3 linked regions of the Lonchura striata genome follow. The protein of the gene in region 3 binds, or shares a complex with, the protein of the main gene of each other region. Links are inferred from orthologs where the notes say so. Each region holds a gene or a part of one and is shown on either strand. Other genes may lie near its edges.

Region 1 (7,789 bases), on a different chromosome or scaffold from region 3:
AATACACTCTCCTCAACTTCCTCCATGATTTGCATCATATACATTTGTGCTGATGCCATTGTTTGTGTAGCTGGGTTACAAATGAAACCATGGACATGAACTCTGGAAAAACAGCCTTTGGAAGTCAGTAATTTGTTTCATTCAGGTTATTTCACTAATCTGATTCAAGCAGTGCCCTCTTAAACCCACTTTGTTGTCTCAAAGTAATGGAAACCCATCAGAGATCTGGAAATGCAGCATTTCCTTGCTTTATTTCTCCTATTCAGAATAATAAGATGCTGCACTTATAAGCTGGCAGCCAAAGAAATGCCAGCTTCCAAAAGGCATAGAATCATGGAATGGTTTAGGTAAACCAAGCAGCTTGAGACCTTTTTGTCTACAGGCTAACAAGAAATCCAGCAATGTGGCTTGAAAACATTCTGCTGTATCTGGCTGGTATCCAGAAACACCAAAATATACCGAGAGATTCACTTGGTGTCGCTCTGCATTGAACCACAACTCAAAGCACAAGGACAGAACTCTAAAATGCAGCAGCAGTGCCTGTGCCACAGCAGCATCACCCACATGCTCATCAACATTAAACTAACTTATTTCCAGACACTTAGAAAGAGATTCAGTTGGAAAGTATAGCTAAGTGAATTCATGGAGAGGAAAATACATTATTTTAAACTTATCCAGGCTGCTTCCCCTTCTTACCAATTTGGATGGGGAAAAAAAGGGTGTTTCTAGAATTAGGAATTTGTCATCTTGTTTATATAGAATGAAACAGCATTTCCAAACCTCTGCCCCTCAAAGACATCCCAAGGACTATAGGTTCTGTGTTGCTCTTGGAGCATGTGAATTGCCTTAAAAGAGTATTCCAAGGTCTCTTTTATCACCTTCTGAATATTTTGGGATCAAATAACTCAAAAAATTAATATATACTCCCCTCCTCCTAAGTACAAGAAGCAAAGAACGAACATCAGGACAGTGGAATGACAAATTCCTAAATCTTAAACTCTCTTAGAAACACTTTAAAAGATAGTGCCAAGATTTTTGCAGGAAAAAAAAAAAAAAAAAGTAAAGAATAGAACAGTTGTCTTAAAATTCTGTAGCTTGTCTAAAAAAGTCAATGTGCAATTATTTGCAATCTCTTGAAAAAAAAATCCCAAGTATCACAAAAATAGTTGCCTGTAAATACTCCATTTAAACCCACATCTCAGAATTCACTGCTCATAACTACCACAGTGTCAAGCAGACTTGGTTTCACTTCACCAAGAAACTGATCATGCTCATTTCTATAGAGAAATAAGGATTTCTACCAGAAAACATATTGCTTCTTTTAAGCTTTTTATCCTTGTTGACCACTAGTGAAATTAAGTCAGGTTTGCAAATTGTCATTTGTGGGTTTCAACACCTTTCTTGTACCAAACTTCCTGAAAATGCTGATGCCAAGGACTGTGACCCTGAACTTAACTCATTAAACAGAAAGTCAGGTAAGAAACAGAGCCCTTCGTGCTCTGTGTTATCTAGTGCAGACTGGTATGTTCTGAACAAAGTGTTCTTATGATTTTACACAAAACTGATCAATTGCGGGAGAATGAACACTGCAGGAGAACGTGACTGACAGTCCTTGCTCATCACTGGGGTAGAAAACCTGAGCTGAACTACAGCAGCTCGTAACAGCCACAGATTACATTTCCCATAGGAAGGGTTCAATCAGAGGCATTCAGTGACACTGGCAAAATTCTCCTTGTCACATTGCTTCCCTTTCTGGTTCTCAGAACGCTGCCAAGTATCAAGATTGCATCAGAAGCACAGATCCTTACAGAGGACTGCTCTGTGAGAGCATGTTACCAGTGGTGTGCTATAAAGAATACCGGTGAAAACAGGTTGTGCTTCTAATACAACTTAGTGTGGCTAGAGTGATAGGTTTTCAATATTTTCTGAGTACATACTGCATAAACCAGACTTTTAAAACAATCATTTCAAATGCAAACATTCTCCAACAAATCTACAGACGTTTCTGGGAAGTTCTGCCAATAAAAACTGCTTCTATTTCTGCCAATGAGGTTTTAATTGTGAATCCAACATAGCAAATTAAAAAAAGGGGGGACAAGAACCCCAAACCCCCAAAGCACTGCAGTTGTTATAGAATCAATTTAGCTGGAAAAGACCTTTGCAGTCATTGAGTCCAACCTGACCTAACATTACGCTGTCAACTGGACCATGGCACTGAGTGCCACATCCAGTCTTTCCTTAAACACCTCCTTAAACTCCACCACCTCCCTGGGCAGCTCATTCCAATGTCTAATCATGCTTTCTGTGAAGAAATTCTTCCTAATGTCCAACTTTAACCTCTCCTGGTGCAGCTCAGGTCTGTGTCCCCTTGTCCTGTCACTGGTTGCCTGCGAGAAGAGGCCGAGCCCCACGGCTGCAGCCTCCTTTCAGTGGTGTGGAGAGTGAGGGGGTCACCCCTGAGCCTCCTGTTCTCCAGGCTATACTCCAGTTCAAACAGAAACAGCATGAAAGAGCGTCCAAAGAAGGGCTCCTCCTCAGAGACGGATGCCGTGAGCCTAGCACGGCAGCGCTTGCCAGCGGAGTTGAAATTTGCCAGAGCCGAGGAGCTCCAGTGGAGCGAAGCCACACACCTGCAAGGCCACCAGGACATGGCAGCAGCTGAGAACGACACAGGGCAGCGCCACCCGCCTCCTCCCAGCGAGCGCCTACCAGGAGCGACGTCCCCAGCCCCTAGAACCGCAAAGCCCCCCACACAGAGTCCTGACGGGACGCTGCCCTCCCCGCTGCTCAAACGCGCCTGTCTGACGAGAAGCACCCGAACGCTCCCGCCACAGCCCCGCAGCCGGCCGCGGCGGCCCCGCCCGTGCCTCGAGGAACGCCCACTCCCCCTGCCCGCCTCACCGGCCGCACTGCCCCGCAGCCGCTCGGGGACGCCCCGCAGGTCTCCGTGCAGCCCGCGGAAGATCTCGTGCAGCCGCTCCAGCTGCTCCGAGGACGCGGCCCCGCGGCCCGCCATGGCCCCGCGCCCCCGGCCCTGCCCCGGCAGGCGCTTCCGCCGCCGGGGCCGCCTCGCGCACTGCCTGCTGGGAGCTGTAGTCCCGGGGAGGCGGCCGTGCCCGCACCCCGCGGGGGCGCTCGTCCGCCGCCGCCACGGAGCGCCCCGGGCCGGCAGCGCCGGTGCGGCCCCGGGGCTCCCCGGTACCGGCGTGACCCGCCGCCGCCGCGCTGCCCCCAGGCCTGGACGCCTGCCCACGTGCACATCGGTGCACGCTCCTTGCCAGGGTTCATGACATGAGCCTCGGCGTGGGGTTGTAAAAATGTGCTTCAAACGCCACTGCCGACAGCCGCCACTGCGCTGTCCCTGGAGACATTTCTCGCTCCTTAATTGCGGACTGCGTTTCAGAATGTTTCGCGGGACCCAGGTCGGAGTACTGTGGTTCCGGGGCAAAAAGCAGCGGGCCGCCCGCGTACCTGCGGGCAGGGCCGGCGGGGGCGCGGTGCGTGCGGAGGTGTGGCGGTACGGGTGTGGGCGAGGCCAAGCGGGCGGGGCGGAGGCGGATCCGAAAGGGAGGGGCGCGGGCTGCCGGAGCCGTGCGCTGGCGGTGCGCGGGTAGCTGGCGGCAGGGATGCTCAGCTGCTGGGAAGCCGCGCTGGGCGCCGCCGTCTCCGTGCCCGTCTTTCTTTTCGTGGCAGCGCCCTACATCAGGTGCGTCTTACCGAGCGCAGCCCCTGCCCTTCGCGTGTGTTCCGCCCCGCAGGGCGGCGCCCGTTGGGGCGCGGAGCTGGCGCGCTTCGCGTTTCTTGCGTGTGTGTCTGTGTGAGTGCGGCGGGAGTGCGAACAGCGGGAATCCCGCGCTGGGGTCGGAGTTATTCAGGCCTGCCCGCTCCAGCGCCCCGGCGACACAGCCGCGCTGCCGGGGCTTTCCCGGGGCTCGCTCGGCCCTGGCACCGCCGGTGCTTTCCCCGGGCTCCCTCCGGGCGCCGGCGCGCTCGCGGCGGCGCGGCAGGGGGCGGGGCCCGCGTTCTCCTCAGGGCGCTGCGGCGAAGCCCATTGGCCAAAAGGCCTCGAGGCGCGCGGCAGCAGCCAATGGGAGCCGTGGCTCCACTTGACGCACGGATGGGGCGGGGCCGCGTCGGGAAAGCGCGGGGGATCGGGGGTGGGGCGCGTTCCCGGTGTCCCGATCGCGACAGGGCCGTGACCAGCCGCTTCAGGCGAGGGCGCCCGTGGCTCCCTGGGGTGAGCCCGAAAATTGATGCGAACCCAGGTTCTGGGTGCTCAACCCCGGACGGGGCATGCTGAGCAGGCAGAGGTGACTGGTGCCTCCCCTCTTGCAGGCGGTATGTCGCTGGAGGACGGTGTAAGTCGACAGCAAGGTTGGAGGGGAAGGTGGTGATAATCACGGGAGCCAACACAGGCATCGGGAAGGAGACCGCCAGAGACCTCGCAAAAAGAGGCAAGTGCAGTCTTGTCAGCACGTATGCCTCTGCAGCCGGAGTGGCTGTACCTTGTGCCAGTAGCCCCTTTTCTGGACCTAAGGAAGAGGTGTTGTAGGCTTATATTGAAGTAAACTGGATTCCAGAGTTACTGCAGATGAGCCCAAGTGCTGTTCCTTCCGAGGCTGTAACCACTGAAGTGCAGGTTTCCAGTTCCTTAACTGGGAACTTTTCATTGCTTGGACTCCAAAAATGTGCCTTGGGGACATAAAAATGCGTTGCATTGCAACTGATTGAAGGGGACTGGGGAAGTTCCTGGATTCTGCTTGTAGGAAGCTGAGAAATGCCATAGGTCCACCACTATGTGCTTTAGTTATTCATGTTTCAAGCTAATTTGATGCAAATGTTATTTGGCTAACTAGTAAGAAGATTAAACTACCTGTTCACAATCCATTTAGAAATTACTCTGGCTGGAATCCATGACCTTTATGTGCTCCTGGCTTGATGTTCCCATTATAGGGGCAGATACAATGCTATCATACCAGTGTTGTATGCATTCCTGACCTGGGAGAACATGGACAGAGGCACTTAAGATGTGTATTTGCCTAGTCTGAAATCATCTTTCAGCAGGACTGTAGCTCACACTTGAGTGGGGAAAGCTTTGTCCCTTCCAGCCATCCCCCTGACTGATGCTAGTTCCCTAAAGAAACAGTATATTGTTTGTAATTGCTGGGCATGGTCAGCCTGCTTGCCATAGCCTTGATCATCCAGTGTGCTCCAGTGATCTCATCTTATGTTCCTGTTGTTCCCCCCTCCCCTCCTTGCAGGTGCAAGGGTAATTATTGCCTGCAGAGACACAGCAAAGGCAGAAGCTGCAGCCAATGAAATCCGAGCTGAGACAGGGAACCAGCAAGTTATTGTGAAAAAACTGGACTTGGCTGATACGAAGTCCATCCGGGAGTTTGCTGAGAGATTTCTAGCAGGTAGAGTCTCTAGATTCTTATTTTTAGTGGGAGTATTTTACTAAGGACTGCTGTCTGTTCTTCTAACCATTGCCAAAGCCCTGTCCTGCTTGTCTCTGTACCTCTTGGGTACTGTGGTTCATAGCAGGGGCTGGTCAAAGGCCATGAGCTAGTTTGTGGTAGGAGATATATCCTTTTTTTAAGGTGATGTGGCTGCAAGTCAGACAACAAGGGGTGAGTTGTACTACCTTCTTGTCTGCATTCTCTGTTTCCTTGTTTAAAGATATTTGTTGTTTCTTGCAGAGGAGAAGGAACTCCATATTCTCATTAATAATGCTGGGGTAATGTTATGCCCTTACTCCAAGACTGCTGATGGCTTTGAGATGCATCTGGGAGTCAATCATCTTGGTAAGGCTAGTGGAATCATGTTTGCACTGAATATGGAACCATAGAATCGTCAAGTGATTTGGGTTGGAATTGCCCTTAAAGATCATCTTCTTCTAACATCGATATCTATAGCAAAATGCCAAAGGAAAATCCTTTTGGATTTTCTCTTCCTCATTCTTCCTTTTACTGGGATGATGGAGGGTCAGAGTCAGAATTCTGGAGATGCAATGTGATGTGTTTGTGCATTGTGGATCTGTATGTGTTACCTGGGACATTTTGAAATGTATGATGGCTACAGCTTTTTGAAGATGAAGAGCAGAACCTGAAGGCCCCAAAAAAAGTGTAGATGTCAATTCAGGGGAATTTAACAGAAATTTTCTTTTTCCTGGACTTGAAATGAGGACAGCAGTAAGGTACCACGTAGAAGCAAGCAGGGGAACCCTTTCTAGAAGGATGACCTTTCGTCTCCCCCCTAGGTCACTTTCTCTTGACTTTCCTCTTGCTGGAGCGTCTGAAGCAGTCTGCCCCAGCCCGCATCGTGAACGTGTCCTCGCTGGCTCACCACGGAGGCCGAATCCGCTTCCATGATCTCCATGGTGAGAAGAGCTACAATCGTGGCCTTGCCTACTGTCACAGCAAACTGGCAAACGTGCTCTTCACCCGGGAGCTGGCCAGGCGGCTGCAAGGCAAGTCCCGGGGGCAGGTGGGGTGTTTATCTGCTTGGCTTTCTGAGCACCATGATGGGGAGACTGGATTGAAGAAAGAGCTGCAAATTGTCTATGCAGAAATTGAATGGTTTGAGGCAAATGTCACTGAGAGCTCTTTGCAGGAAGAAAATATCTCCTGTCTGTGGAACCAGTAGACTTACAACACAGATTGTCTCTACAGCAACAGGGTAGAGTTTAGTAGCTTGGCACAGTTGAATGTATCTCATTGTTCTTTGGTGTTTGTCAAAAACTAGCTGCATCCACAGAGACAATTGTAGTATGTGGATGGAAGCTGAAAACAGCCACAACTGCAGTCTCCAATAGAAAAGCTAATGCACACTCAGCTGCCTTAAATGGTGGTGGCCCGTAGAACAAGCATAAGATTAGATAGTACCTTGCAAGTCACAACATCTGTCACAGTCGTGTCATTCAGTCCTGTTCATAAACTTAAGTAATACTGATTTACTACAACAGAAGTAGTGTCTTCCCCAGGAAATTACTATTAGAGTAAGTCAAAAGAGGCAGGTGTTCTCAAAAGCCTGCTGGAAACTGCTGCTGGTTTAGCACTCAGACCCTCTAGCACTTTGTTTTGCAGAAGGCACATAATGACTCCTGTGTTTAGAAGGGAGCAGGGGATGCTCCTCATCCAGTGCCATGGATGAGTGATTTAAACTGCTTCAAGAATCGCCATCAAAGGTATTAGCAAAAGTGGTTTTAACCTGATGTCATAAGAGGGTGACTTAAAGTATGATGGCAAGGTTCAGTCTATTATTTACGTGGAAGACACATGCAAAGGAAAACTGATTTAGAATTAAATTAGAATGATTCACACAGGACTGGAAACACACTGTGTAAGGAAGACCCTCCTGATGAATCGTGAGGCTCAGCATGGAGCCCCATGCTTTTTAAACTCCTTAGGGAGCCTATGTCCAGTTTGAGTCTCAGATTTGGACGATTTATATGTATACCAAGTTTCTGTAATTATTACTGAGCAGCTACATGGACTAGTAATGTTTCCTCAATATTAATTCAGCAGTCTTTACCAAGGATTTATTGCAAGCAAAGGGCCTCTCTGCCTTGCTTAAGGAAGGCTCTCAGTCTCAGGTAAGAAATCTCAAACCTTGAGAGGTGCTTCTGCTCCAGGGGAGAGTTAACCTGCTGTGCAGTCCAGTTGCAGTCTGAGCTGAGGTTCAGCTGGACTCATCCAAAGATTTGCTGTTGGTAAAAGCTCTCTGCCTTGAGGAGCAGCCTTGAGAGGTGAGCCAGCTCAAGTGAAGACTGTCACCCTGCAGTCATATT
Region 2 (7,703 bases), on a different chromosome or scaffold from region 3:
ATGACCTTTGGTAGTGTTTCCCTTGATGAATTCCAAGTGCTGTTCATTCAGAAACAGGGTGAAAAAGTGCCTGCCAAACTGTCCTTTTAATGGGAGAAGGAACATGCTACTCCTGCAGCAACAAACTGTGCCCAGCTGCCACCCTCGGATGGGGCAGAAAGCAAGGAGGGCAGACTTGTGTTATCTGTCCTTGTCTTTACAGTTCCCTCCTGCCCAAAAGCACAGCCAGGAAGAGGCCCAGGCAGCAGCTCCTGAATGCTCCATGAATCACCAGTTCTGACAGGTCCCTTGATTTATTGTTTTAGGAGTCCAAGCCAAGGAACTGGGTGAAATCTTGGTTTCACAGTCCCTGATGCACTGCTGACAGAGCAAGTGACCTCAGGTTCAAGGCACTTGATCTCGGTGTCTCAGCCATCCCAGCTGGAGCCTGGCTGGAGCAGCCCTGCAGACACTCCTTCCTCCACGCAGGGATTTGTATCCATGCTTTTGATTCCTCTGCTGTCCCCAAATCCCTGCCAGGACAGTGGCACAGAGTAGCACCGAACACACTCTGGGCACTGCGTGAGCTCAGTTTGCTTTTACAAGAAACTCAACCTCATCCTGACCCCTTTTGCCTCTCACGCTCATGAAACAGAAACTCCACACAAAGCACACTGATATTTCCTGTTTATGTCCAGCTGTTAGAGGAGTTCTGCTGGCCAGTCCTTTAATCACCATTGTAGCACATTCTCCTCCTCTGCTCCTCTCCCCAGGCTGACAGAGCTGACCAAAGGTGCTTCCATCACCCCCTCCATGCCCAAATTCCAGCTGTACCTAAGGTCTGCACAGTCTCCTCGCTCTGCTGCACCTGCTGGGACATCATCCTGCTGATGCCCATCAGACTCTCTGTGATGTTGCTTGCACTCTCTGCCAGACTTTCCTTTGTGGTCTTCCTGAAAAGAGAAAAAAGAAAAGCAGGAAGAGGTAAAATTATCTTTTTGGGTGCTCTGGGAAAATGCTGCTGATAGGGAGATAAGGCCAATACTTGGCACTAAAGATCTCTGCATTGTACAAAAGACACAACTGGTTTTCACTGCATGAGAAATTCAGATTATTTTCACTAAACAATAAAGTCTTGAGCCCAAACAACAGCTCAGAATCTCACAGGGCCTGTACTTCACCACTTGCTCACCCAGGACTGTGTAATTCCTTTATGGGAGCACCAACACAAACCCATTTTATCATCCTGAATATCCCAGCTGTTGCATTCAATACAATACACAGCCTGCACACACTCACACCCAGTTCTGGATGTGAAAACAGCTTGGATAATGACCCAGTTCTTGTGTAGAACCTATCTGGAATTAATGTAAAAGACAATATGTAAAGCTATGAAGGTTAATTTATCCCCTTTTCTGCTTAGACATGCCAATGCCAAGAGAACCTGAATTCATCACTATCCTTAACAGCCCAAATCTCCAGAAATGGGAAATGCATTCACAAAAGAAAACCTACACATGATATAATTAAAAAAAAATTAAAATATGATGTCCATTTAAAATGAGTGAATATAGGAGACACTGCTTGTCCCACAGTACAGTGGGACAGTCCAATACCTTTGTCTTAAGATGTCTCGTCCCTGCAGCAGCTGATCTTTCTCAGAGTTGTCAATAGCAATTTTGCAGGCCAGATTTGCCTTTCTCCAGGCTGCCTGGTTGCTGAAATCACAAAAGCAGAGTGTTGTAATGCGATGGGAACACCTTGCAAGCACAGACAGTTTTCACAAAGCAGCCACCACTGTAAGTGGTGCAAGGGCCCTCAGAATGCAAGAAATACTCGGGCTGGAAAATACTTCCAACATCATCAAGTCCCAGCTGTGCCCCATCCCCACCCTGCCCCAGCCCACAGCACTCAGTGCCACCTCCAGCCCTTCCTGGGACACCCCAGGGATGGGATCCAAACCTGCCTGAGCAGTTCCAGTGCCTGAGCTCCCTTTCCATGGGGAAATTCCTGCTGTGCCCACCCTGAGCCTGCCCTGACCCAGCCTGAGGCTGTTCCCTCTCATCCTGGATGTCCCCCTGGCTGTCCCCTCCTGTCAGGAGCTGTGCAGAGCCACAAGGTCCCCCCTGAGCCTCCTTTTCTCCAGGCTGAGCCCCTTCCCAGCTCCCTCAGCCCCTCACTTTCTCTATTCCTACACATAACAAAAACATTCTATTCTGACATTCCCACTCCTCAGTGCAGCACTTAAGGACCAAGAGAAGAAGAAAACTGCCAGCTGTCAAACAACAGATTCCAAAGCCGCCTTCTTTGAGCTCAAAGGGACAGAGCAGAGCCAGGAAGTCATGGCAGGAGAAGGGAGTTAGTTACACCCTTTCTGTCCCTTTGCTCCTGGTCTGGGCCAAAACACGTGTCAGTGTGTGTGTGCTTCCAAACTCAGAGGCTGCACCAAAGCCGGCCAAGCTCCGGGGCCAGACCCACCTGAGCATTTGCTTCTTGTGGCTCTCCACCTCCCGCAGCAAGGCTTGCTTCTCCGACTCCTTGTCCTGCTCCTTCGCCATCTGCTCCAGCTCCTTCGGCGGCGAGCACAAACACCAGAACCTCACCAGCCAGCCGCGCAGCCCAGCCCGGAGCAGGTTTATGTGACAAACCCCAACCCAGGACGGCGACTCCCAGATCTCGGCCGGGACCCCCAAACCCAAGGCCGGGATCCCCAGAGCCCGGCAGGCACCCACAGCCGGGGGGCCCAGCCCGGAGCCCCCGGCAGCCGCGGCCGGGCCTCACCTGGATGCGGCCGCGGAGCTGTCGGAACTTCTCCTTCACGGCGGCGTTGAGCTCCGTGAGGGCGCTGAGCGGCCCCGGGCAGTCCCGGATGTCCTGGAACACAACGGCGCGGTCAGCGCGGGCCCGGCTCGCCCCGCGGCCGTGCCGGGGTGTCACGGGGTGTCCCGGGGCTGGCGGCGGTACCTGCACGGCCGCTTTGATCTCCAGGTCGAACTTGACGATCTCCTGGTGACAGACCCGCAGCGGCACCGCCGCGGCCGCCGCCGCCATCTTGGCCGGGCCGGGCGGGGCCGGGCGCCCCCTGCGGGCGGCGGGCGGGACGCGCGCAAAGAGGGACGTGGCGGGCCGGGCCGAAGGGATCCGATCCCATCCGATCCCATCCGATCCCATCCGACCCCATCCGATCCCATCCGATCCGACCCGATCCCATCCGATCCCATCCGATCCCATCCGACCCGAACAGACCCGATCCGATCCCATCCGATCCGACCCGATCCCATCCCATCCCATCCCATCCCATCCCATCCCATCCCATCCCATCCCATCCCATCCCATCCCATCCCATCCCATCCCATCCCATCCCATCCCATCCCATGGCTGGGAATGTGCTGCTGCGCCGTGGGGATGGATGAACAGCAGAATTCCAGGATCACCGAGGTTATAAAACACCTCTGAAACCCATTGAATCCAAACTGTGATCCCCACCCTGTCCCCAGCCCAGAGCACCCACTGCCACCTCCAGCCCTTCCTGGGACACCCCAGGGATGGGATCCAAACCTCCCTGGGCAGTTCCAGTGCCTGAGCTCCCTTTCCATGGGGAAATTCCTGCTGTGCCCACCCTGAGCCCATCCTCACCCAGCCTGAGGCTGTTCCCTCTCATCCTGGATGTCCCCCTGGCTGTCCCCTCCTGTCAGGAGCTGTGCAGAACCAGAAGATTCCCATGGAAAAGTTCCAGGTTTACACCCAAGAGCCTCCTCGGGTTCCAGGCCAGGCTGACTGGTCAGGAGCAGGGTGGGGAACACGAGCTCTGCAGCCCAGAGTGAGAAGCAGGGCAATGGTGAGCACGTTTCTCTCCCTCTCAGGATTTTTCACAGAAATGTTCTCACCACAGCAATGCCCTTCGCTTTTCCCGGCGCCGAGTCCTTCCCTGCTGCCCCCAGACCCACGGGACTGCAGCAGCAGCTTCCCCAGGCACTAACCCGGGCTCTCCACATGTCCCCAGCGAGCCAGCAGCGCTGCCAGGCAGCTCTGAGCATGAGGAAGCACAAACCAGACATTCCCTTACCCACCTGTCACCCATTCCAAAGGAAACTTCCTGGAAACACCACACCTAGCACTAAGTTCAAGGCAGCAGAAGCCACTCCCTATCATTCCACACACACAATGATTCCGGACAGTATTTCCTCCACAATTTTTATTTTAAATTACAAAGGATGTTGCATACATTGATGAATTTGTATCTGAATAGAAGTGCTAGGGATCAAGGGTGACAGAGTAAACAAAGTCAATAGTTTAATTGTGCCTCTTTTCAAAAAAATAAAACTGCACAACTATTAACCAACATTTAACATTGCAACTCTTAACAGATCATGCTTTGAACAAGGTAAATTTATTTTCTAACAGAGACAAGACTTTCAGTATGTTTTACTGAGCTCCAGTTGGAAGTTGATTATAGAATATCAAGGACAGCATTACAATCATGACCCCAAGCAAAGGCAGAACAGGATGCCATGTTTTGTTTAAAATGCTTTTTTTTTTTTTGCATCTTCATGTGCCATCAGCCTTAAGAGTTCACCCAACTACAAATACTGAGCAAGTTTTCCTTGGATATATAATATTCTGGGAAGATAGATGATTCCAATCAGAATGCATGAATATCCATCATTACAAGAGAAATTAAAATTAAGTTTTCTTACTAGGTTCTGTTTCCTAATCAGATTTTGATAGGGTGGGATGTGCTTTTTCCAATATCAAATCTAATCTGTAAGTTTTCCCTACAGTAGTAGTTAAGTCACCCAATTTGACTTTAAATATACTCAACTAAAAATTACTTTAAACTCTAGAAAAACTCTGAATTGTGACATTATCTAAAAAGCTTGAAATTTTGTTTTTTTTTTTAATGGGGGAAACAAAAAAATGCAAGTGTGGCTTCAAAGAGCTCTGGTTCCACTTTTAGCTCCACAGCTTGGTAAAAAACAATAAATTCAGAGTCAGTATTTGCTCCCATGGAAGTTCATGGATGTCTAAGAGGCTGAGGATTATATCCAGAGTGCAAAGACACCTTCTCGAAGCACTGGAGGGAAAACATGGCATATTGTGAAATGCAAGTTGTAGAAAGACAGAGATTTTTGTTTGCTGCAAAGAAGATACAGCCTGAAAGTGCCATCTTTGATTAATGACATCGAAGAAATCCCAATTTACATTGGGAGATATTCAAGAGTGGCGTTTTCTCAACAGACTAATGCCCTTAATACAGTTACAAGAAGGATCAGTCACTGAGGCAGCAACTGTTTGAAATGTACTTCACACCATCCCTGGGGTAAACAAAATAAACCTCAGCTGTGTGCAAGGCTGTGTCAACAAGCCAAGACCACATCTAGCAGCACACTCCACTAGGTGATTCCAACTTCAAAGGAAAACCAAATCATGCTTAGATGCACTCTTGAAACTCGGGTCTCAAGGCCAAATACAGATCCTGACATTCACGGTCCAGAACTGGCTTGTGCCTCAGCAGAATTTCAGGAAGACGAGCAAGCACGTTTGAGGAACAGGACTGCATTTGCTATTTCTGCTGGAGGCAGCTTGGATACAACCCTTGGAAATTCTCCCAATAAAACCCTTCAGAGCTTCTTTAAAATAATAATAAAAAAAAATTGCTATGTTTAAATGATTTATGGAAAAGCACATCCAGTCATTATAGCTGTGAATAAGCTGTTTCATTAATGAAGGCAAGATAAATATTAGATAAATATTGGGGGGTGTCTTTTAAAAATAAATTTTAAACTGACACCTCTACATTTCCAAAGTGTCTGTTTGCTTTTAGGTTAGTTAAAAGACCTTTCAACCATTTTAGGTTGGTTTGTTGTTTGTTTGCTTTTTTTTAAAAACCCCAACTTTTCCCTGGCCCTCTTAGTACGGAAAAAAGTCAACCTATAAATTAGGAACTGAACACAGCTGAGCCTGACTCTCACATCAGCTTTACAGCAATACAACTTTATTAAATCACAATGATTTCAACTGGTATGATAAGAAAATCCAGCCCATCCACACGTAAACACAGCTTTAGTAGTAAGTCTCTCTCATCCCAAAAAACATAAAGCACTCACCAAATATCAGTAAATGTGTTCAATAAACCATAAAAGTAAGCGTTAGCAAAAGGGGTTTTGGGTTTAAAAACACCCTTCAGGAGCACCCCCACGTTTTGCAAGGCCATTCAAAAACTGGTCTTCCATAGAAATACAAAAGGACTAGAGAGAGAAACTGAAATCAGCCCTGTCTGCACTCGCTCCAGCACGCTTCAATCAGCTCTGACTCCACCTCAGAAGCTTTGACGAGTTCAGAGGGAATGAAAAACACTTAGTTTCTAGATGTACAAGTAAGGCACAATATAAAGCCACATCATCATCTGTCATGAAGGGAGGGGAAGGACGAGGGTCATACATGGTACAGCAGAACAAGCAGCCCATCGATTCCAAGTGTGGCACCTACGTTCAGACTGACGAGATCTCGACAAGAGCAGTTATGACAGCATGCTTTTAATATGGAAACAAATCCTAGAGAATCCAGTGTATCAGAAAAAGGAAGAGCTTTCTGGTTGTATTAAATCAAAAAATAGATCATTGTTTTTGGAGATAGGATTAAAAGTGAATATTCACAATGCCTACACTCAAAAACAAACAAAACAAAAAACCCAGGATTTCGTTAAGATCCACATACTATGTATGAACACTGAAAATCTTTAGAAAATGGTCTTCTCTAAAGATCACCCCAAAACGCATGCCACAATTGCCAAAAAACAGAACATGTACATATGTTGGTTTTTATACCCTTATAAGATTTTTGTTTGTGATAAGTATACACTAAATGTATATATTTTAATGACACTAGAGGAAGCAGATTGTTACTGGCATTAAAGTACAACCATTTCTAGACGGTTTAAATGCCACAGAGTCCCCTGGTTAAAATGTAAAGCTGCACAGCTTGCCTATGTCACCTTTATGATAAAGTTAAACCAGCAAAAGGTCTTATCTTTACTCTACATTTTACTGCCAGGTTTTATTTATCTCAAGTATCGCTGCAGCATTCTGACCAGCCCAGAGTTAGCAGCAAGTGGCAGGAATCATATAAAACGCAGTTTCTTTTTTTTTTTTTCTTTTTCCTCTTTTTTTTTTTTAAACAAAGTGCTTTTCTAAGATATACATACATATAAATAGTTACAAAATAAAGTGTCAACATTAAAAAGCTCAACTATTTCAAAGCTTTAACTTAAAATAATACATAGGAAACACTGAAATGCAAGGGTATGGAACTCACTAAAGATTCAAAGTCTACTTTGAAATGCGAGACCAAAATCATAGTCTGGTTTTCAGACAAAAAGAAAAAGCTATAAAGTTGTGTGTTGCCCAGGATTCCCAGGTAGCAAAATAAGTGGGGCGGCTTTTAAACGCCTTGTCAGTTGAATTTGTCCCAGAAGTTTTTACCTGATTTGAAACTGCTCTCTCTCAATGCTCAGATGCTGCCTCGCCCGCAGGGTTTGGGTGGAGCACAGGGACAAGCTCTGAGTGCCAGCCCTGCTCGGTTACAGCCTGCACCTCACAGGACACATTCTCTCTTGGGGTTTTTGGGGCCCTGGGCAGCTCCACAAGAACAAGAGGAATACACCAGACCCACTGTGGAAAGCAGCAGCCAACTCTCTCCTCACCTGAACACCACCACCACCACAA
Region 3 (8,065 bases):
ATTCCAAAAAATCCCCATCTCCCACCCGGAATTCCATAAAATCCCCATCTCCCACCCGGAATTCCACTTTTATCACCCAAATTCTAGTCTGAATTCCAAAAAATCCCCATCTCCCACCTGGAATTCCACTTTTATCACCCAAATTCTAGTCTGAATTCCATAAAATCCCCATCTCCCACCCGGAATTCCATAGATATCCCCATCTCCCACCCAGAGTTCTGCTTTTATCTCCCAAATTCCAGTCGGAATTCCAAAAAATCCCCATCTCCCACCCGGAATTCCATAGAAATCCCCATCTCCCACCTAGAATTCTGCTTTTATCACCCAAATTCCCTCTGAATTCCATAAAATTCCCATCTCCCACACAGAATTCCCCTTTTATCACCTGTAATTCCCCCAAAATTCCACAAAATTCCCATTTCCCACCCAGAACCCCCCCCAAAATTCCCTTTCCCCCCCGGAATTCCCAGGAATTCCTGGCTCACCGAGGTTGTTGGCGGCCAGGGCGGAGACGGGGGCGCGGGAGAAATGTTCCCGACGGCTGCGCTGCTGCTTCAGGTTCTGGGGCAAAACCAGGGGAAAATGGGGAAAAAGGTGAGAGAAAATGGGGGGGAAATGTGGAGAAAATGGGGGGAAAATGGGGAGAAATAGGGGGAAAAATGAGGGGGAGAAAGAGCAAAGAAAGGGGGAAAATATGGGGAGAGAAGAGAAAAATGGGGAGAAATTGGGAAAATGTGGAATAAGGAGAAGAACAGAATTGGAGAAAGAGAAGAAAAAGTGAGAAAGCAGCAGAAAAGTGAAAAAAAGAAAAGTGAAGGAAAAGGAAAAATCAGGAGCAGAAAAAAGCGGGAAAAGGATAAAAAATTGTAACAACAAGAACAAGAAAAAAAATGAGAAATGAGCAAAAAGGTAAAAATGGGAAAAGAGGAAGGGAGCGAGCAAAGAGAAAAAAGAAAAAAGAGGGAAAGGAAAAAAGAGGGAAAGGAAAAAAGAGGGAAAGGAAAAGCTGCAGCAGCCCCGCTCACCTCTGTCCGCACCTCCAGCACCGATTTGAAGTCGTTGGACATCGAGGCCAGTTTGGACTGGGGAGGGAGGGTGGGGGGTCACTGGGGGGCCCCTGAGCTCCCAAAACCCCCCAAAAAATCCCCCGAACACCCTCCAAAGCCGCCCCAAAAAATCCCCCAAAAAACCCCCAAAACCTCCCCAAAAACTCCCAAAGGCCCCCCAAAAACACCCCCCAAACCCCCCAAAAACCCCAACAAAACTCCCAAAAACCCCCCAAAACCCACCCAAAACCCCCATACCTCCCAAAAAAACCCCAAAACTCCTCTAAAACCCTCAAAAGTCCTAAAAACCCCCCCAAAACCCCAAAACCTCCCAAAAACCCCCCAAAGAAAACCCCAAAATCCAAAACCACCCCCAAAAAAACCCCCAAAAACCCATAGGAACCCCCTAAAAAACCCACCCAAAAATCCCCCAAACCCCCCCAAGAGTCCGAAAATCCCCCCAAAATCCCCCGAAGCCCCCGGCCCACCTGCAGGGAGAGCAGGACGCCGCTGGAGTGGCTCTGCAGGTGCCGCCCGCCGGGGCCGCGCCGCGCCCGCAGCAGCTCCTGCAGCGCCGCGATCTGCGCGTTCAGGCTGCCCATGTCCTGGGGGGCACGGGGGTCAGGGGCACCCCAAAACCCCCCCACAAAAACCCCCCAAAACCCCCCGACCCCCACCCGCACCTGTTTGATGATGTAGGTCAGCTCCTCGATCTCCACGGATTTGTCGTCGAACAGCGACTTGCGCTTGGCCACTGCGGGGGGGTCAGCGGGGTCACAGAGACCCCCAGAGACCCCCCAAATCCCCCCAGGACCCCCCAAATCCCCCAGAGACCCCCCCAAATCCCCCCTGAGACCCCCTAAATCCCCCCTGACACCCCAAATCCCCCCTGAGCCCTCCCAACTCCCCCGTGAGCCCCCAAATCCCCCCTGACCCTCCCAAAGCCCCCCAGAGACCCCCAAATCCCCCCAGGACACCCCCAAAGCCCCCCAAAGCCCCCCGGACCCCCAAGCCCCCCGCTCACGCAGGGTCAGCTTCTCCAGCTTGGCGAAGGTGTTGCTCAGGTCCTTCCCGATGCGCCTGGGGGGAGGGGGGGGCAGGGATTGGGGGGGGTCTGCAGACCCCCGCCCCAATTCCTCGGGACCCCCACCCACATCTGGGGACCCCCACCCCAATTCCCGGAGATCCTGACCCCAAATTCTTGGAGACCCCCACCCCAGTTCCTGCTGATCCTGACCCACCATACCCGGGGACCCCCACCCCAATTTCTGGGGATTCCAACCCCCAATTCCTGGAGACCCCCACCCCAATTCCTGGAGATTCCAACCCCCAGTTCTCAGGAACCCCCACCCCAATTCCTGCTGATCCTGACCGCCCACACTCGGCGACCCCTACTCCCAGATCCTGAGGACCCCAACCCCCAATTCCCAGAGACCCTGACCCCAAATTCCTGGACACCCCCGGCCCCATTCCGGGGGACCCCCACCCCAATTCGGGCTAATCCTGACCCGCCGTACCTGGGGACCGCCACCCCAATTCCCGGGGATCCCGAGCCCCGATTCCTGGGGGACCCCAACCCCGAATTCCCGGGTTCCCAGACCCCTCCTCACTTTGCCATCAGGCTGAACTCGCTGCGCGGCCGCCCCGGCCCGGGCCCGGCCCTGCCCGCCGGGAGCCCCCGGTCCTGGGGGGGAACCGGGGAAAACGGGGGGTCAGGGGGGACCCCCGGGATGGGGGGGGTGGGGGTTTGGGGAGACCCCCGGTAATTCCCGGGGGGTTTGGGGAGACCCCCCGGTAATTCCCGGGGGGTTTGGGGAGACCCCCGGTAATTCCCGGGGGGTTTGGGTGCCGGGGTCACCTGGCGGCCCTGCAGCGATTGGCAGGCGGAGAGGAACTCCTGGGTCCTGTCGCGACACGACATGACGTCGGCGGGCGGCGGCTCCGGGGGCGCGGGAGGCGCCGCCGCCGCCCGGGGGGGCGCCGGGGCCGCGCCCGGTTCGCGCTGCCTAGGCCCGAGCCGGCGGCGCGCCTGCATCGGGGCTCATCGCCTGCCCTGGGACACCGGCGGCACCGGTTACCGGCGGCGGAACGGGGCGCGCCGGGAGCCCCCCGCGAACCGGCGCCGCCCCGGAGCCCCCGAGGGGTCCCGGTGCCGCCCCTCCCCCCTCACCGCGGGCTCGGCCGCCGCCACCGGGAGGCTCCGGCCGCGCTGACGTCACTGCCACGTCCGTTCCGCCGGAAGTGCCGCCGGCACCGGAACAGAACTCCCCGGTACTTCCGGGAGGGGACGGGGAGAGGCCACGCCCCGGTGAGGGCGGGGATGGGAACCACGCCCGCTGAAACGGGGCCCGCCCACTGCAACGCCTCCCGCCGGCGGGGAATGGCGGGAACGGTATGCAAATGAGACCCCGCCCCCCAAACCGGAGCGGGAATGGCGGCCCCGAGCCCGGGGACACCGGGAGGGGCGGGGCCCCGCCCCCAGCAAAGAGTCCCGATTTGATTGGTGGAATTGATCTGCCCCAGCAACAGGCCCCGCCCCTAGCAACGAGCTGTGCCGCGATCTGATTGGTGGAATTGATCTGCCCTTGCATAAAGCCCCGCCCCCAGCAACGAGCTGTGCCGCGATCTGATTGGTGGAATTGATCTGCCCCAGCAACAGGCCCCGCCCCCAGGAACGAGCCCCCCCCCCCCCAATGGCGCCGTTCCCCGTGACGCCCCGGTGACGTCAGGGCCCGGTTCCGGTACGGCGGGACGGACACAGAGGCTCAGGCGGAATCCGCGGTTCCTTTATTGGGGCGGGGGGAGCGGGGAGGGTCCCATGGGCGGCGGCGGCGCCTCCCGCCGGTCGCGGCGCTGGTCCCGGTGCTCGCGGGGCTCCCGCAGCGGCTGGTCCCGGTGTGCGGCGGGCCCGCCTCACTCCTCGCGTTTGCGGTAGTCCTGGATGTGGCCCAGCACCCAGGCGGCGGGCCCGAAGATGGACACGAACACGGCGGCCAGGCCCAGCACGGTGTCCTGCGGGGACGGCGCCGTTAGAGCCGCGCCGGTCACCGGGGCCCGGCCCCGCCCGGGTCACCCCGCCCCCCCCCGCTCACCGCGGTGCTGACGGGGCTCAGCGCGGGCCCGGAGCGGAGCCCGCGCGGGGCCGGGCCCGGCCGGGCCGCGGCGCGCAGGACGGAGCGGGCGAGGAGGGCGGCGGGCGGCAGCATGGCGGCGGCGGCGCGCTCTGACGTCACTTCCGCCGCGCGCCGCTACGTCCCGCCATGGCCACGCCCCCTCGTTAACATAATTTATTCGTAGCCGCGCGAGTTGCTGCGCTGCTCATTAGCATAGCCCCGCCTCTCCCGCGCACGGCCACGCCCCCAGCGCAAGAGCCTCAATTGACGTTTATTTATTTATTTATTTATTTATCCCGTACAAACAAAACGGCTGAAAAAAAAAAAAAAGGAAAAAATAAAACAGAAATAGAAATAAAATAGAAATAGAAATAAAATAGAAATAGAAATAAAATGGAAAAAAAAAATAGAAAGAAAAAATAAAATAAAAATAAAGAATAAAATAAAAATAAAATAAAAATAAAATACGAATCCAGCACAAAAATCCCCCTCCCCGCCCAGCGCCGCGCCGCCGGCACGGGGGGAAGGGCCGTTTGTGTCACCCGCCCCGGGGGTCCCGCCGGGCGGGCGCGGGGCTGTTTTTGGGGGGCTCAGTGGCAGCAGCCGGCGCAGGGGCCCCCCCCGGGGTGGGGGTCCCCGAACCTGGTGCTGCGGCTCAGGATCTCGTAGGAGGAATCGTCCCCGCAGCAGCCGGACACGCTGGGGGAGGTGGCGTCCACCTCGAACCTGGGGGGACACGGGGGGGACACGGGGTCACCGCCACCCCCCTGAGCCCCAAGGATCCTTCCTGACCCCCCAAAACGCCCCCTGACCCCCAGAAACCCCCCGGGACCCCCTCCTTGTCACCCTGACCCCCCCACATCACCCCCCAGGCTGGCAGTGGGAGGGGATGGGAGGGGAAAGGCTGGGGGGGGGGAGCAGCACCCAAAAAAGGGTAAAAAACCCCAAAAATCAGAGGAGAAAGGGTTAAAAACCATCTGGGGAAAAGGGGTTGAAAGCCTGGGAAAATGGGTGGAAAACAAGCAAAAAATGGAAAAATGGAATAAAGGGAAATGTAAAATGTCCTTGGAAATTTGGGGTTAAAAATGCCAGATTTGGGTAACGGGAAGCAGAAAAAAGGTTGTGGAAATTGGTGGGAAAAGGGGAAAAACTTTTGGAAAAGTGGGTTAAAAAAGATGAAAAAGAAGCATGGGGGAAAATCTTGGAAAAGGGACTAAAACCTTGAAAAAAGGGTTTGTAAAATCCTCAGGAAAGGACCAAAACCCCCAAAAATGTGTTTAAAAAACTAACAGAGAGTTAAAATTATTTCTCTAAAACTAGGGAAAGAAAACATAAAATGAGCTTAAAATTCCCCCAGAAAAGGACCAAAACAACCCAAAAAATTAATATAGAACCTATAAATATAGGCTTAAAATAAATATAGAAAAGGATAAAAGCCTTGGTATAAAAAAATAGAAGGGAAAAGGGAAAAAATGTTGGAGAATTAGTTTCAAACAGCTGAAAAAAACAACTGCAAATGGGTTAAAATACCCAAAATGGGTTTTTTAAGGATCCAAAAGGGGATCCCAAACTGACAGCAAAATGACCAAAAACAGGGAAATTTTCCCCAGAATGGCCTTCGAAAGCCCCGAATTTGGGTCCCGAGCACCCACCTCTGTCTGTGCCCCTGCCCCGCCTGCCCGCGGCGCCCGGTCACTGCAACGACAGGGTGCCACAGCTGTCACAGCTGTCCCCGGTGTCCCCCCGTGTCCCCTCCCGGTGCCGGTGTTCCCGGTGTCCCCGGTATCCCCCGGTGTCCCCGGTGTCCCCCGGTGTCCCCCGGTGTCCCCGGTGTCCCCGCACTCACTGCAGCGCCTCGCGGAAGAACTGCAGCGCGCCGTGGTTGTGCTTGAACACCGTCAGCATCACCTTCTTCATCTGCGTGCTGCGGGCACGGGGCGCGGGTCACCCCAAAACCGGACTGGGAACCCCAGAACCGGACTGGGAACCCCAAAACCGCCCCAGGGAACCCCAAAACCGCCCCAGGGAACCCCAAAACCAGACTGGGAACCCCAAAAACCGGACTGGGAACCCCAAAAACTGCCCTGCATCAGCTCCAAAATGCCCTGGTTTCACCCCAAAAACCAGCCCCATGGTACCCCAAAGAATGCCCCGGTTTCACTCCAAAAGCTTCCCTGGTTGGGCTCCAAACTGCCCTGGTTTCACCCCAAAAATTGCCCCAGTTTCACCCCAAAAACCAGCCTGGTAGAACCCCCAAAACTGCCCCCGTGGAACCCCCAAAACTGCCCTGCTTTGGCTCCAAGCTGCGCCGGTTTCACCCCAAAAAACCGGCCCAGTGGCATTCTCAAAACTGCCCTGGGTTCACCCCAAAACACCCCCAGTTCCCCCCCAAACTGCCCCATTTCACCCAAACTCCCCCTGGTTCTGCCCCCAAACCTCCCCCAAACCCCATCACATCCCCCCCAAATCCCCCCGACACCCAGATTCCCCCAAAACCCCCTCCCTTCCCCCCAAATCCCCCCCAAACCCCCTCCATTCCCCACAACCCCTCCAGAATCCCCCAAAATCCCCATCAGTCCCCCCCAAACCCCCCCAGTTTCCCCCCAGACCCCTCTGACCTGTTGGCCACCAGCTGCAGGATCTGCAGCAGGAACTTGCCCAGCCCCCTCCTCCTCACCCGGCTCTCCAGCTGCACCTCATAGCTGCAGGAGGGACACCCCAAAAACCCCCTGAGACCGGGGAACAGACACCCCAAAAACCCCCTGAGACCAGGGAACAGACACCCCAAAACCCCCTGAGACTGGGGAACAGACACCCCAAACCCCCCCTGAGACCGGGGAACAGACACCCCAAACCCCCCCTGAGACCGGGGAACAGACACCCCAAAACCCCCCTGAGACCGGGGAACAGACACCCCAAAACCCCACTGAGACCCGGGAACAGACACCCCAAAACCCCCCTGAGACCGGGGAACAGACACCCCAAAACCCCCCTGAGACCCAGGAACAGACACCCCAAAACCCCCTGAAACCTGGGGATAGACACCCCAAAACCCCCTGAAACCTGGGGATAGACACCCCAAAACCCCCTGAGACCCGGGAACAGACACCCCAAAACCCCTTGAGACTGAGGAACAGACACCCCAAAACCCCCTGAGACCGGGGAACAGACACCCCAAAACCCCACTGAGACCTGGGAACGGACACCCCAAAACCCCCTGAGACCATGAACAGACACCCCAAAAACCCCTGAGACCATGAACAGACACCCCAAAACCCCCTGAGACTGAGGAACAGACACCCCAAAACCCCCTGAGACCCCAGGAACAGCCCCACAGCCACTGTGGTGTGGCAGTGACCCCAGAGCCGAGCCCCCCTCACCAGTACAGGACACCCCAAAACCCCCCCGAGACCCCAGGAACGGCCCCACAGCCACTGTGGTGTGGCAGTGACCCCAAATCCGAGCCCCCTCACCAGTACAGGACCTCGTCGCCGCACTCGACGTCGAAGCGGAAATGGGAGAAGGCGACGGGGCCGTGGCCGGGCTCGCGGGCCAGCAGGTACCAGGCGCGCTCGTCCCGCAGCTCCTCCCGCTTCTCCCGCTCCTTCCAGCCCCACTCGCTCTGCTCGTAGCTGGGCACGGGAAAAACGGGGCGTGGGGGCCGGGAAACGGGGTTTGGGGGGGAAAAAATGGGAGTTTGGGGGGTGGAAATGGGGTTTGGGGGGAGGAAACCAGAGGTTTTTGCCAGGGGATGTTGAGTAACAAACCCAGGGATTTGGGGGAACAAAACCCAGGTATTTGGAGGAAAAAGCCCTGGGGATTTGGGGGGAAAAACCCAGGGATCTTTGGGGAAAAAAACCCAGGGATTTGGGGGGGAAAAAACCCTGGGGATTTGGGGGGAAAAAC

Evidence for each region.
Region 1: STX5 (region 3) and VTI1B share a complex: the UniProt entries of both Homo sapiens proteins name them as parts of the SNARE complex. The link is inferred for Lonchura striata from reciprocal best matches to the Homo sapiens genes STX5 and VTI1B.
Region 2: STX5 (region 3) and BNIP1 share a complex: the UniProt entries of both Homo sapiens proteins name them as parts of the SNARE complex. The link is inferred for Lonchura striata from reciprocal best matches to the Homo sapiens genes STX5 and BNIP1.

The regions. Positions count from the first base shown.
Region 1 is NC_134608.1:32,868,655-32,876,443, reverse strand, and holds the start of VTI1B (vesicle transport through interaction with t-SNAREs homolog 1B), read right to left. Parts: upstream 3,055-7,789; 5' UTR 3,017-3,054; coding exon 2,902-3,016; intron 1-2,901. Other genes in the region: retinol dehydrogenase 12, read left to right, coding at 3,627-3,706, 4,336-4,454, 5,262-5,417, 5,700-5,804, 6,260-6,469. UniProt on the Homo sapiens protein: V-SNARE that mediates vesicle transport pathways through interactions with t-SNAREs on the target membrane. These interactions are proposed to mediate aspects of the specificity of vesicle trafficking and to promote fusion of the lipid bilayers.
Region 2 is NC_134617.1:2,453,861-2,461,563, reverse strand, and holds the start of BNIP1 (vesicle transport protein SEC20), read right to left. Parts: upstream 3,052-7,703; 5' UTR 3,031-3,051; coding exon 2,944-3,030; intron 2,854-2,943; coding exon 2,761-2,853; intron 2,550-2,760; coding exon 2,458-2,549; intron 1,698-2,457; coding exon 1,596-1,697; intron 933-1,595; coding exon 814-932; intron 1-813. UniProt on the Homo sapiens protein: As part of a SNARE complex may be involved in endoplasmic reticulum membranes fusion and be required for the maintenance of endoplasmic reticulum organization. Also plays a role in apoptosis.
Region 3 is NC_134638.1:358,651-366,715, reverse strand, and holds the start of STX5 (syntaxin-5), read right to left. Parts: upstream 3,026-8,065; 5' UTR 2,968-3,025; coding exon 2,905-2,967; intron 2,731-2,904; coding exon 2,657-2,730; intron 2,127-2,656; coding exon 2,071-2,126; intron 1,801-2,070; coding exon 1,730-1,800; intron 1,652-1,729; coding exon 1,535-1,651; intron 1,083-1,534; coding exon 1,026-1,082; intron 562-1,025; coding exon 486-561; intron 1-485. Other genes in the region: NAA40 (N-alpha-acetyltransferase 40), read right to left, coding at 4,443-4,472, 4,802-4,885, 5,812-5,854, 6,006-6,083, 6,778-6,861, 7,633-7,791. UniProt on the Homo sapiens protein: Mediates endoplasmic reticulum to Golgi transport.